Linked DNA regions of Mus musculus. The protein of the gene in region 1 purifies or fractionates together with the protein of each later gene. This does not show direct contact. Links are inferred from orthologs where the notes say so. Each region holds a gene or a part of one and is shown in the gene's direction. Other genes may lie near its edges.

Region 1 (3,649 bases):
CAATGCCAAAAAGAGGAAGATGTACGAGAGCTTTATCGAGTCCCTGCCGTTCCTCAAGTCTCTAGAGGTGAGCTGAGCTGTCACTCTGCTGTGCTGGCTGCTTTGCTAGGAAGCACTCGTGTCCTGAAAAGTTCTTGTGACCGTCTTGTGAGGCTAGCCATGCTGGGAACCTGAGTTTAATCCCCATATGAAGGTGGGAAATGTCTCCTGATCTCCACACAGAGTGTGTGTTATAGTACCCTAAGAAATAACGATAATGAAGGTGGTAATAACGATAACAAGAGTTTTAAAGTATATTATATTTTACTATGAAAAGAACAGATGGCGATATAAGATTTTTACTGCTATTTCTTTTACTACATGTAACAACATTTTATCCTGCTTTTTGGAAATAAGGCTCTTTTTTGGACTTTATAGCAAGTCTACAGGAGCTGTTTATCAGATAACAAGTGTAAGCAGGTCAGCATCCACTCGGTTTTCTCCCCACTAGCACTCATGTGTCGAAAATCATCTCTACCCTGTCTTCAGAATATCTTCAGCATCCAATCATTTTGTTAACTTCACCAGCCCCACCTTCTGTCCGTATCTTCATTGCCTCCTGTATGACTTTTATCAGCCACCTACAGAAGAATCCTTTTAAGTTCCAGATCAGGGCAGTCTTGCTAACAACCTTCCCAGGACAGGATAACTTTGAAGAAGGCCACCGAGGTCCCTTGTCTGTACCTCTCAGACAACTTTGCTAACTGCTGCACTTCCACCCTGCCATAGACATTAGCTTCCTGCTGTTGCATACGCATGCCAGCCCTCCCTTCAGATCTATGCATGTGCTGTCTGCCTAGGACAGCCTCCCCCACAACTCCATGGCTTCTCCATGAATCTCCTTCATTTCTTAGCTCAAATGCCTCCTCAGTGAGACCACCTGTTTCTTATCTTTGAAGGTTCATGAAAGAACCGTTACCTTACAAATTCGGCTCTGCCAAAATTCATTGTGAAAGTGCTTTTCTAGACATTTTATAATAGATAAAGCCTCATATTTGAACTCTCTTGAAAGCGATTATAGAGAACTAGGTACATGTTCCCATGGTGTCGTAAAATAGCAAATGTTGGCGTGGTCGTGTCTCTGTGAGTCGCCGGTTTATGCCTGGGAGAAACTTGGCCATGTTGTGGAATGCGCAGACAGCTGATCTTCTTTAGAAACTCCTGTCCTCAAATAGAATGTATCAGGGAGGTAATCCAGTCAGATAGAGCCATGTGACGTGACAGAAAGCAACCCAGGAAGGGACTTTGGCAAATCGGAGAACATGTGCTCCCTCTAAGGGAACAGCTGCCATTCCACCATAGCTTTACTGCTGCCATATGGAAATTTGGGCTGGGGGTTGGCTGAGTCTTCTGGTATTTTACAGGAAACTAGAAATACGATTTTGTCTACTTCAGGATTCTAGCAGTTAATGTAGCAACTACACAAGGGAAAACAGTTGGGTTTATTTAACTATGTAGGCCGTCCCTTGTAAACATGTAAACCAGGTAAGGCTACGTGATTGGTCGGTGTATTATCAGGCTTCCCCAGAGGAACAGAGTTTATATCATACATACATGCATGCCTGCCACTTATTAGAGTGGCTTATAGGCTGTGCTCCCACAAGTCCAACAAAGCCTGTCTCCTAATGGAAAGTGCAAGAATCCAATAGTCCACTAGGATGGGTATCTCAGCTGGTCTTGAGTATACTCTAGAATCCTGAAGAAGTAGGCTCTAATGCCAGGCTGGGAATGGACTTGCTAGTGTGAGAGAGTGAAGGCAAGCAGGCAGAGGGAGCAAGAGCTTCCTTCTTGCACGCCCTTTATTTAGGCTGCAGCAGAAGCTGTGGCCCGGGTGAAAGGTGGATCTTCCCAGCTCAAAAACTGGATTAAAGATGCATCCTTCCACCTTAAAAATCTGGATTAAAAACGGGTTTTCCCATTTCAAGTGACATAAGGGAAAATAATCCCTCCCAGGTGTTTCCAGCCTCTTGGGTTTTAGTTAATTCCAGATGTAGTTAAGCTATAACCAGAAATAGACACCACAGTCTCTAACACGGTGCTCTTCTTTGTAGGTTTCTGAACGCCTGAAGGTGGTGGATGTGATTGGCACCAAAGTTTACAATGATGGAGAGCAGATCATTGCTCAGGTACGGTACTGAGCTGCCATTCCTTTAGGCTTACATTCCAGAAGGTTCAACTTTGTTTTCATAATTGGTACGCAGTATTAGATTAAATGAATATTTCTTCCACCAGACAACTTATCAAAAATGCTTTTGCAGCTGGTAAGTAATCTGGATGTTTTTGTTTATATAATTTATTTCTAATGACTGTGCATTAAACCATTACCTAGCTGAGTAGTTTGCAGTTTGTAACATGAAATCCGCATGTATAGTGGGAGTAAGATGTCTTGTGTAAGAGGGAAAAGTGGGGGCTATTCCATGAAATTACCAAGAACCCAGGTCCACAGGCAGATGAGTTTTGCGTGATTAGCTCTTGAGATCTGCTTCCAGATAACACTCACCAGAAGGAGTTCACATTGTACCATGTGCAAGCACTGAATGCATTAATAAGAATCCCCTCTAACCCTCATGTTTTTCTGAACTCCCAGTGGGCGCCAGTTGTATTACAGTACCTGCTAGCCAGAGAGCTCGTAGAAAGTAGGCTGTATAGACAGTTGAAGGGTGCGCATGAATGAGTGGGTTTCTAACGAGAGTTCATGCAAAAACCAGGAATACTGGGGGTGTACGTAGAGAAGGCGCCTTTCGTTCCCAGCAGTCTTTTCAGAGCCGGAAGTACACTGTCATAGACTGACATGTCAGCTTGGTGCCTGAAGGCCGTAAAAGCTCATCTATTGCTTCCGAAAGCTCCCAGTTGCTTTTGCTCCTGGCAAGTCTCTGTGCTAGTGCTAGTTGCCTTGGGTGGACACAGTGCTACTTTCCTAGGATTGCGGAATGACTGACGTAGCCTGCTGGTGGGAGGGGCTGCTGGGACACACAGCAGGGAACACAGAATGACTGACATAGCCTGCTGGTGGGAGGGGCTCCTGGGACACACAGCATCTGCTATCCTTTCTTGTAAACTGCTCAGCACAAAATTTTGAGGTTACTTGCCATATTTTCTGGTAGAGAATGTATTATTTCGAATGCCTAAGAAGTTACTGTAGAATTATCGTAACCTCAGGATGTAGTCTGGTCTATGACTTCACTTTACGGACTGGAACCTGTAGGCTGGCTTCAAAGGCATGATTTCAGAGATGCTGTGGAACTTGAACATTCACCCTGCATTTTTGTTTTAATAGGGAGATTTGGCAGACTCTTTCTTCATTGTAGAATCTGGAGAAGTGAAAATTACTATGAAAAGAAAGGTAAACAGCCCCCAAATTCCTCATATCCACAAGGAAAATATGGATTTTTTTTTTTAAAAAAGAACGATCTCAGACTTCAATGTAACTGACTTGTTGGCTCCTTAGGGACACTATGCCCCTCCTTAGAATTGGGAACAAAACACCCATGGAAGGAGTTACAGAGACAAAGTTTGAAGCTGAGATGAAAGGATGGACCATGTAGAGACTGCCATATCCAGGGATCCACCCCATAATCAGCATCCAAACGCTGACACCATTGCATACACT
Region 2 (3,714 bases), on another chromosome or scaffold:
CTGTAATGCCAACACTTAGGGAGGTGGAGGCAGGAGGATCAGGAGTTCAAGGTCAACCTAGAACTTCCCAGCTTGAGGCCGTGAGACATGAGACACAGTCTCAGAATATCAAAATAAATAAGCAAGTAAAGGAAAGTGCCTAGGTTTTAAGGATCAGAGCTGGGCTGGTTGGCAAGTGGAACCTCCGTCGGATACAATTATCTGCAGGTAGTTTGGTTTTCTCAAGTCGTTGGGGGAGGCAGTGACTCATGGTGACCATTTCTTCGAAGGCAAACTTTGCAAAACCCCAGATCATTTAGAGAAAAGCCCCTTCGACATCACTAAAGTTGCGAAAATGAGAAATCAACTTGCCCTTGAGGGCTACACAGTATCCACATTACTGATCAACCAATGGCCACCTATTATACTCGAAAAGCTATGCTATGCTCGCAAGGTTACGGGAAAGCCAGATTCCTAGGCAAGGGGAACAATGTAGCATCGTCCCTCACCAGCCTCAGCAACCTTTTCCAGGAGAGGCACCATCCCAAGGCAGGAACCTGCCTGACACCTCTCCCCGGAGAAGAAGCAGAGACCCCGTGCGAGCCAAGTTCATTGTGCCGAGCACTCAGACACCAGGAACCCACCCCAGCCCGAGTGTGGGACGTAGGGGCCATCTCCCATGCCCGCCGTGAATATTGTTACTCTCGCGAGAGCGCCAGCAAGGCGGGCCCGTACAGCTCCGGGATGTCAGCGGAGAGCTCCTGACCGCGCCCCTCTTGGCGCAGCTGGGAGAGAGGCGCGCGCAAGTCGGGGGAGGGAGCGGCCGATGGCGCGCACGCGCAGGAGAGCGAGCGGGCGAGGGGGGCACGCCAGGGAGCCGAGGGCGAGGGGCGGGGCCTTGCGTCGCGCCGCGGGCACGTCGTTGCGCGTCCTCAGTATTTAATGTCTCTGTGTTCGCCCGGCCTGGGCTAGCACGTGGGGGAGCGGCCGAAGCGCCGTGCAGCGCTGCGGGGCAGGGCCGCTGGACTAGGTGGGGGGCCAGGGGGCGGTGGCGGGAGGATTGAGTGCCTAGACGGTCGCCCAGGAGCAGGTAAGTGACGGCTGGCACGGGCACCCGCCCGCCGGGCCCGGAGAGAGAACGAGTTGGGGTGATGGGGAGCCTGGGGTGCAGGTGCAGGGTGCGACGCGCGCGCCAGGTACTCCGGGGACCGAGAGCCTTGTGCACCGCGCCTGCTGTCAAGCGGGCGGGTCTGTGCCTTGATGACCCGCGCGCCCCGCTGGTCTTTCCCGGTCCCAGGGCTGCTGCTGACAGATCGCGTGCGCTGAGCTCGGGGCGCTGCTTTAAGCCGCTGCTTTCCCCTCCCATCCCCCCTCACGTCACTGGCCTCTAGGATGGAGGTGAGGGCGCAATTCCCCGGGCGCTCCGGTGCGCCTCAACTTTCCCAATGCTGGCTCACCCTTCTGGGTAGCCTGCCCGAGCGCGTCCCAACCAAGGTCGTCTAGTCTCGCTAGCGTTTACTTTTCAAAGGTCGTGTGTACCCAGTTTACGCGTGGAGAGGAGGCACTGGGGCGGTCTCTGCCAAGGACCCAGTGCCCAAGGCGGGAGAGGAGGTCCTTGGGGACCCCTTCCCTTCCTAACTTTCTAACTGCTGGGCCCAGTTGACTCTGGGTTGGCCCGGCAGTGGTGGCAAACCGGAGCAGGAAGACACAATTCCTGGAGTTCAGTGCCGCGAATTATTGGAGCGGACTCTGCCGTTGTAGCGGGGAGAATGGGATGCAAGACAGGTCCCAAACCTTTTGGCGGTGGAGAGACCATAAGACCAATTAGGATCCGGAGGTCGTGAGCTTGGGTGTCCGAAGGGAATTAGAGTTTGTGGCCCCATAAGCATGTCCTAAGAGGTGGGAGACCTCTAGCTAGAGGTGCCCGCTGACTTCTTGCGGGGGTGGGGAGGTCCAGGGTCACGTGTCGCGCCCCACCTTTCTTTCCGTCCCAGGACAGTGATCTGGAGGGACTTTGCAGGGGTCATGGGGGGACTTTGCCAGGGTTATAGGTAAAAACCTGCGTAGAGAAGCCTCCATACGCGTAAAGGAGCCTACATTCTGGTGTCAACTACTGCTGTGTCCTATCTTTTCCTGTTTCCTTTCTCCGGGAGGGAAGGTGCTGATAGTCAGGGGCTGTGCAGAAGGGACCTCTGAGACGCCCTGTGCCTAACCGGACCTTTTCCCTCCGGGAAATGCCTCGAGCAACTAGTACCTTTCCACCCTTGGGCTGTGGTTAACACAAACCCGGTGGACTTCGCTCCAGGTGAGAGTGGAGGCTTCTCAAACCGGTAAGGTCGGGTGTATGTGTAGGGCAATTAGTAAGGTTTAAACTGCCTATCTTTCCGCTATTGAAGTCGAGGCTGCTTGGGGTTTAAATTTAACGCCTGCAGTGACAACAGGGTTGCTGGACCTAATGTAACCATCTCGGTTGGTGTGCTACCACCCTCTGTATCCGTGTGTTGCAATTACAATTGCTATTGCTTCGGGAAATCAATCTTACATGCTCATTTAACTGCAGAGTCCTTCCCAAATTAGTAACCGTGGGGTTTTTGGTTTTGTTTTAAACGCTTAACTTTAGAAAGCGAGGCTTAGAAAAGCGAGGCTTAGAGTCTACGGGCTTCCTACCCATTCCTCTCTTAAAGGCACAAAGCATCTATAAACTCTGTGAACGAGTTGCTCTCCTGCCAGAGTCTTCTCTGATTGGCATTTAAGTGTTTCACCTTCAGATTATTTAGGACTCTTTTAGAGCCCAAGGAACAAGTGAGATTATGTTTGGGGAGCTTTCTGGACTTGTTGTCGAGCCTTCTTTCGCTTCTAACCTGTTTTGTAGGTTCTGGGTAATTCCTGGGTGTAGTCTTGTGAAATAGAAAGAATGGCCTTGGGTTAGAGGACATTCTCCTACCCTAAGGGTGTATGCAAATCATTAAAGCTTCTGGTTAGGTTGTTAAATCAGAAGGCTTTGTTCTGTAGAGTGGGTCAGTAGCTATCCAACCCAGTGGGTGAGACCTGATGTAAATCTAGTGAGTTTGCCTCTACTTGGGGAGTTCTCCCATCTCCCAGCTAATTGTAGGAATTGCATTCACCCTTGGCCTCTGCTGGGTGACAGCAGAGATACAGGTATCAGTTGTCTGTTGCCTGCTCAGATGCTGGAAGTGATGTGTCTGAGCATCAATACTTTAAAACAATCTGTCTTGCTACCTGGTAACCCAGATTATATGTGGACCTGGGCCCCAGGCTGGTCATAGCTAGAGTTTGTGGAAGGTAGTTTTAGCTTCCAGTTTTCTTCTTCTCATCCTAAACATGGATGGAGATCATCATATTTAAGACTTGGGACTATTTGTAGCAGAGGATGGCCTAGTCGGTCATCAATGGGAGGAGAGGCCCTTGGTCCTGGGAAGGCTCTATGTCCCAATATAGGGGAATGCCAGGACAGGAATGGAAGTGGGTGGGTTGGGAAGCAGGGGGAGGGGGAGGGGATAGGGGATTTTCGGAGGGGAAACTAGGAAAGGGGATGACATTTGAAATGTAAATAAAGAAAATATCTAATAAAAAATGGAGTAATAATAAAAAAAAGACTTGGGACTATTCCTGGCCTATGCTAGGCACTTAAGTATGGTATCCCTCACTCCCAAGGAATCCGTTTGACTCAGTCATTTGATTAGATATAAAAGCACTCCCTCGCCTAGCCTCTGA
Region 3 (3,749 bases), on another chromosome or scaffold:
TAGTGGCCTGGTGCTGTATACGACAGTGTGGGAGAAGCTGTCAGCGTTGCTGGAAACTGTCTCATCTCTGTTCTTTGGGGGAGAGATGTAGAGTATAAGAAGCAGGCTGCTGGAATGGCCACTTAGGGAGGATTTAGTCAGCCTATCGGTTGTGTGTTTGTAAGTACTGGGGACAGAACCCAGACCTTGCACACAGGGTATAAGTGCTTACCAATGGGTTATCTCCTGGTCCCATTTCATTTTGTATTGAGATAGGCTAGCCTTGAACTTCTGATCCTCCTGCCTCTGCCTCCCAAATAGTTGAGATCACAAGGATAAACCAGTTTGTCTTGGTAACGTTTTTCATTTTGAGACATGGTCTCATTATGCAGCCCTGGCCGACCTGGAATTTGCTTTATAACCTAGACTGTCCTGGAACTCACAGAGATCCACTTGCCTCTTCCTTCAGGGGCGGGGATTAAAGGTCTGCTCCACCACACCTCTGTGTGTGTGTGTGTGTGTGTGTGTGTGTGTGTGTGTGTGTGTGTGTGTGTGTGTGTGGTTTTGTTTGTTTTTAAATGACAGCACTCACTTGGTCTGATGGTGGATACTGTTTGTTTGTTAAGCGTTCTTAGAAAATGACCATCAGAAAATCTCAACTTGGAAAAAAGTAACAGCTTTTCAGGACAGTGCTCCCCACCTCCAATAACCAAAGACAATGCTGAAACAAACAAACAAACAAACAAACAAAACAAGGTTCTAGAAGATGGGGCAAAGAAGATGCTAGCCAACAAGCTGGAGTAGAATTCTCAGGAGTCAGCAAAGGGACAGTTTAATTATAAAAGGATGGCCAATTTAGGGAGGGAGAGAGCATACCCGGAAAGTATCTAGAGGTTTGAGAACAGGGGGAACTTTTTAAAACTCATCACAGTTTATTTAGTCATTATTTGTTTATCTATTTATTATCTCTCTGCGTGAGTGTGTGAGTGTGTGTGTGTGTGCCACAGCGAACATGTAAAGGTCGGAGGACAACTTGAGGGTGTCAGACTCTATCATGTGGTTCCCAGAATTGAACATAGGGTTTAGCAGCACATGCCTTTACCCGCTGAGCCATCTCTCCTGTCAGGGACTTCTTTAAGCTTAGAAACTGGGGAAGGTGACATTGGAATGCACAGAACGAAAAGGCAGTAGTGAGGTCTGGAAATGACAATAGTGCCAGGCTGAGGTCACAGATGGAGAACGAAGCGGAGATGCTAGAGGATGCAGGGCAGCTACGTGTGTAGCAGAAGGACCAAAAGCGCCTGGGCGGAGCAGTTGGCAGACAGCCTCGCGGGAGGCAGAACCTGGCCGCGTCTCAGCCACAGCCGCAGCATCTGGGTTGGATGCTCTTCCACGCTGGGAGGATGCGCCTGGGCAGCCGGTGAAACCAAAAGAAACCACGCAGAGATCATAGCAAGGGCACAGTGCCCAGGCCTCGGAACCATGAAGCGCACGGACAGCGGGTCCATCTGCCACCACGCGCCGCCGCCGTGCTGGGCTCACCACGCACCTCGCCAGTCTCCACGGCAGCCCTCCAGCCGGGAACGAAGACCCCCAGAGCGGGCTGGGAGCTGGGCGGTGGCGGCAGAGGAGGAGGAGGCAGCCTCGGCGGCACCCTGGATGAGGTAAGACGTGGCCAGCATCTGCCGCGGGAGCAGGGGAAGCTGCGGCGCTTGGGTGCTGGTGTGCTGTGGTACAGGGGTGCTGGTGCACGGTTCGCTAGACAGGGCTGGGGGGCTTGGCAGGAGATCTATGCTGTCACGGGAGGTTACTGGGGAAGGTTTGGCGAGCACGCTAGAGATGGGGGGCCCAGGAGCGAATAGGATCGACAGGACAGGGTTGAGCATAGCTGGGAGGTGCAGCTGATGATGCACAGGAGAAATGGTGGGAATCCAGGTTTCTATCCTAAGGTCTTTGCTTGATCTGTACCGATGTGGGTGAGGCTGGAGGCAACACCTGCTGGGCTGAGCCAAAGGAAAGGTGACTCAGGAGCTGGGCTAGTTAGGGGATTTGCAGAGCTCTCATCTTTGCCTTTTTTAGTCTCTTCTTCCTTGGATATTTATTTATTTGCCTTAGCTGGAAACAGCAGGGAGATTGGTGATGCCCTTTTCTTCCTTTGAAGCACTGGAGCCCGGCCTGGGCCTGTTGGCTGGATGCTCTGGGCCGCTAGCTCCACCTGAACCCAGACCCTTCCTCCACTCTGGCCTAGAAAACACCCGGCAGATTAGGTCCCGTGTTCGTCATGTAGCAACAGCAAGATGAAAATCTGTCATATTAATATTTCCAAAAGAAGAGACAGATTGTATGGCTGCCATTTTTAAAGTAAGCACGTCTTTGACATAGAATTTTTAGCTCCTCCCTCTGTACCCCCCTCCCTGCCCCCCCCCCCCCCCCCCCCCCGTGGAATGCCAGTACTTATCATTCAAATCGAAAGGCAATGGTGGGTTCAAGTCTTTACTTTGCCTTTAACTAACTGGGACTTTTCTAGGCCTCAGTTTCCTATGAATGGGATCGGGGTTTGGATTAGAAGAGTTTTGACCTCAGAGTGGAAGGGTTGCTGGGTTTGTATTGCATACTCCGGAGTCGGCTGGATCTGTGAACTAGAAAATAGAGTCTGTCTATTCAAAGAAACATAATTGCTTTCATTCATTGTACTACACCTATTTATGCAAGAAAATGTAGTCAAAGATTCGATTATACAGTAGTTAAAGGGATCATCATGTTTCTATTAAGAAATGCATAATAAATTATTGGAATTAAAGGATGAAGCAAGAGACATCCATATACATATATAGTGAAACTTTAGCCCAAATGTAATTATGTTTTAAAAATGTGAGTGAACTTTGACCAAAAATAAATCTGTATATTCACATACACATGCTTCTAAAATTTCATAGCTTCTCCCCTGCTCTCTATATAGTAGCGGAACTTTTTATCTGGAAAGAAACACTCATCATAGAGGGTGACCTATCTCACTGTCATTGACAATAGACATTTCGTAGGGCTAACTAACATATGTTTCTCTAAATTATGGCAGTAAGGTGTTGCAATATGATCTTCTTACATAGCCCAGGCTAGCCTCAAATTCATGATCTTCCTGCCTCAGCCCCCTCAGTTGCCTCAACTGATATTATAGGCTTGCACCCTGCTGTCCATATCTATGTAATGAGCCAGCCTGGGCCACATGGCAAAATTATGTCTCAAAAACGAAAAACAAAACCCCAAATCCCGTAAATAATTAAATAAGAAATCCTAATTATCCCATCATTGTTTATGTTAACTAAAAAGCAAATAACTGTAATTTCAAATAAAAATCAATAAAAAGCCAAATCAAAGCTGCGCAGTGGTGGTGCATGCCTTTAAGCCTGGCTCTCAGGAGGCAGAGGCAGGCAGATCTCTGTGAGTTTGAGGCTAGCCTGGTCTATAGAGCAAGTTCCAAGACAAGCAGGGTTATTTCACAGAGAGACTCTGTCTCTGAAAAAACAAACAAACAAACAAAACAAAAAAAAAACAGAACTAAAACAAAATATAAACATTCTAGGAGCTGGAAGCAGACTTTCCACAGCAGCTGTAAGAGCAGAGGTCTAATAGATGCTACTGTGTCAAAGGTTCTAATGGATGCTACTGTGTCAAAGGTTCTAATGGATGCTACTGTGTCAAAGGTTCTAATGGATGCTACCTTGTCAAAGGTTCTAATGGATGCTACTGTGTCAAAGGTGGGTGGGGGAGTC

The links.
Region 2: the proteins of Prkar2b (region 1) and Akap1 purify together in Homo sapiens (affinity purification with mass spectrometry; 3 studies listed by BioGRID and IntAct, counting the BioPlex papers as one, with this or other methods). This does not show direct contact. The link is inferred for Mus musculus from reciprocal best matches to the Homo sapiens genes PRKAR2B and AKAP1.
Region 3: the proteins of Prkar2b (region 1) and Pde4dip purify together in Homo sapiens (affinity purification with mass spectrometry; 4 studies listed by BioGRID and IntAct, counting the BioPlex papers as one, with this or other methods). This does not show direct contact. The link is inferred for Mus musculus from reciprocal best matches to the Homo sapiens genes PRKAR2B and PDE4DIP.

The regions. Positions count from the first base shown.
Region 1 is NC_000078.6:31,963,631-31,967,279, reverse strand, and holds part of Prkar2b (cAMP-dependent protein kinase type II-beta regulatory subunit), read left to right. Parts: coding exon 1-67; intron 68-2,090; coding exon 2,091-2,165; intron 2,166-3,316; coding exon 3,317-3,382; intron 3,383-3,649. UniProt on the Homo sapiens protein: Regulatory subunit of the cAMP-dependent protein kinases involved in cAMP signaling in cells. Type II regulatory chains mediate membrane association by binding to anchoring proteins, including the MAP2 kinase.
Region 2 is NC_000077.6:88,861,752-88,865,465, reverse strand, and holds the start of Akap1 (A-kinase anchor protein 1, mitochondrial), read left to right. Parts: upstream 1-879; 5' UTR 880-1,069; intron 1,070-3,714.
Region 3 is NC_000069.6:97,886,383-97,890,131, reverse strand, and holds the start of Pde4dip (myomegalin), read left to right. Parts: upstream 1-1,424; 5' UTR 1,425-1,461; coding exon 1,462-1,643; intron 1,644-3,749. UniProt on the Homo sapiens protein: Functions as an anchor sequestering components of the cAMP-dependent pathway to Golgi and/or centrosomes.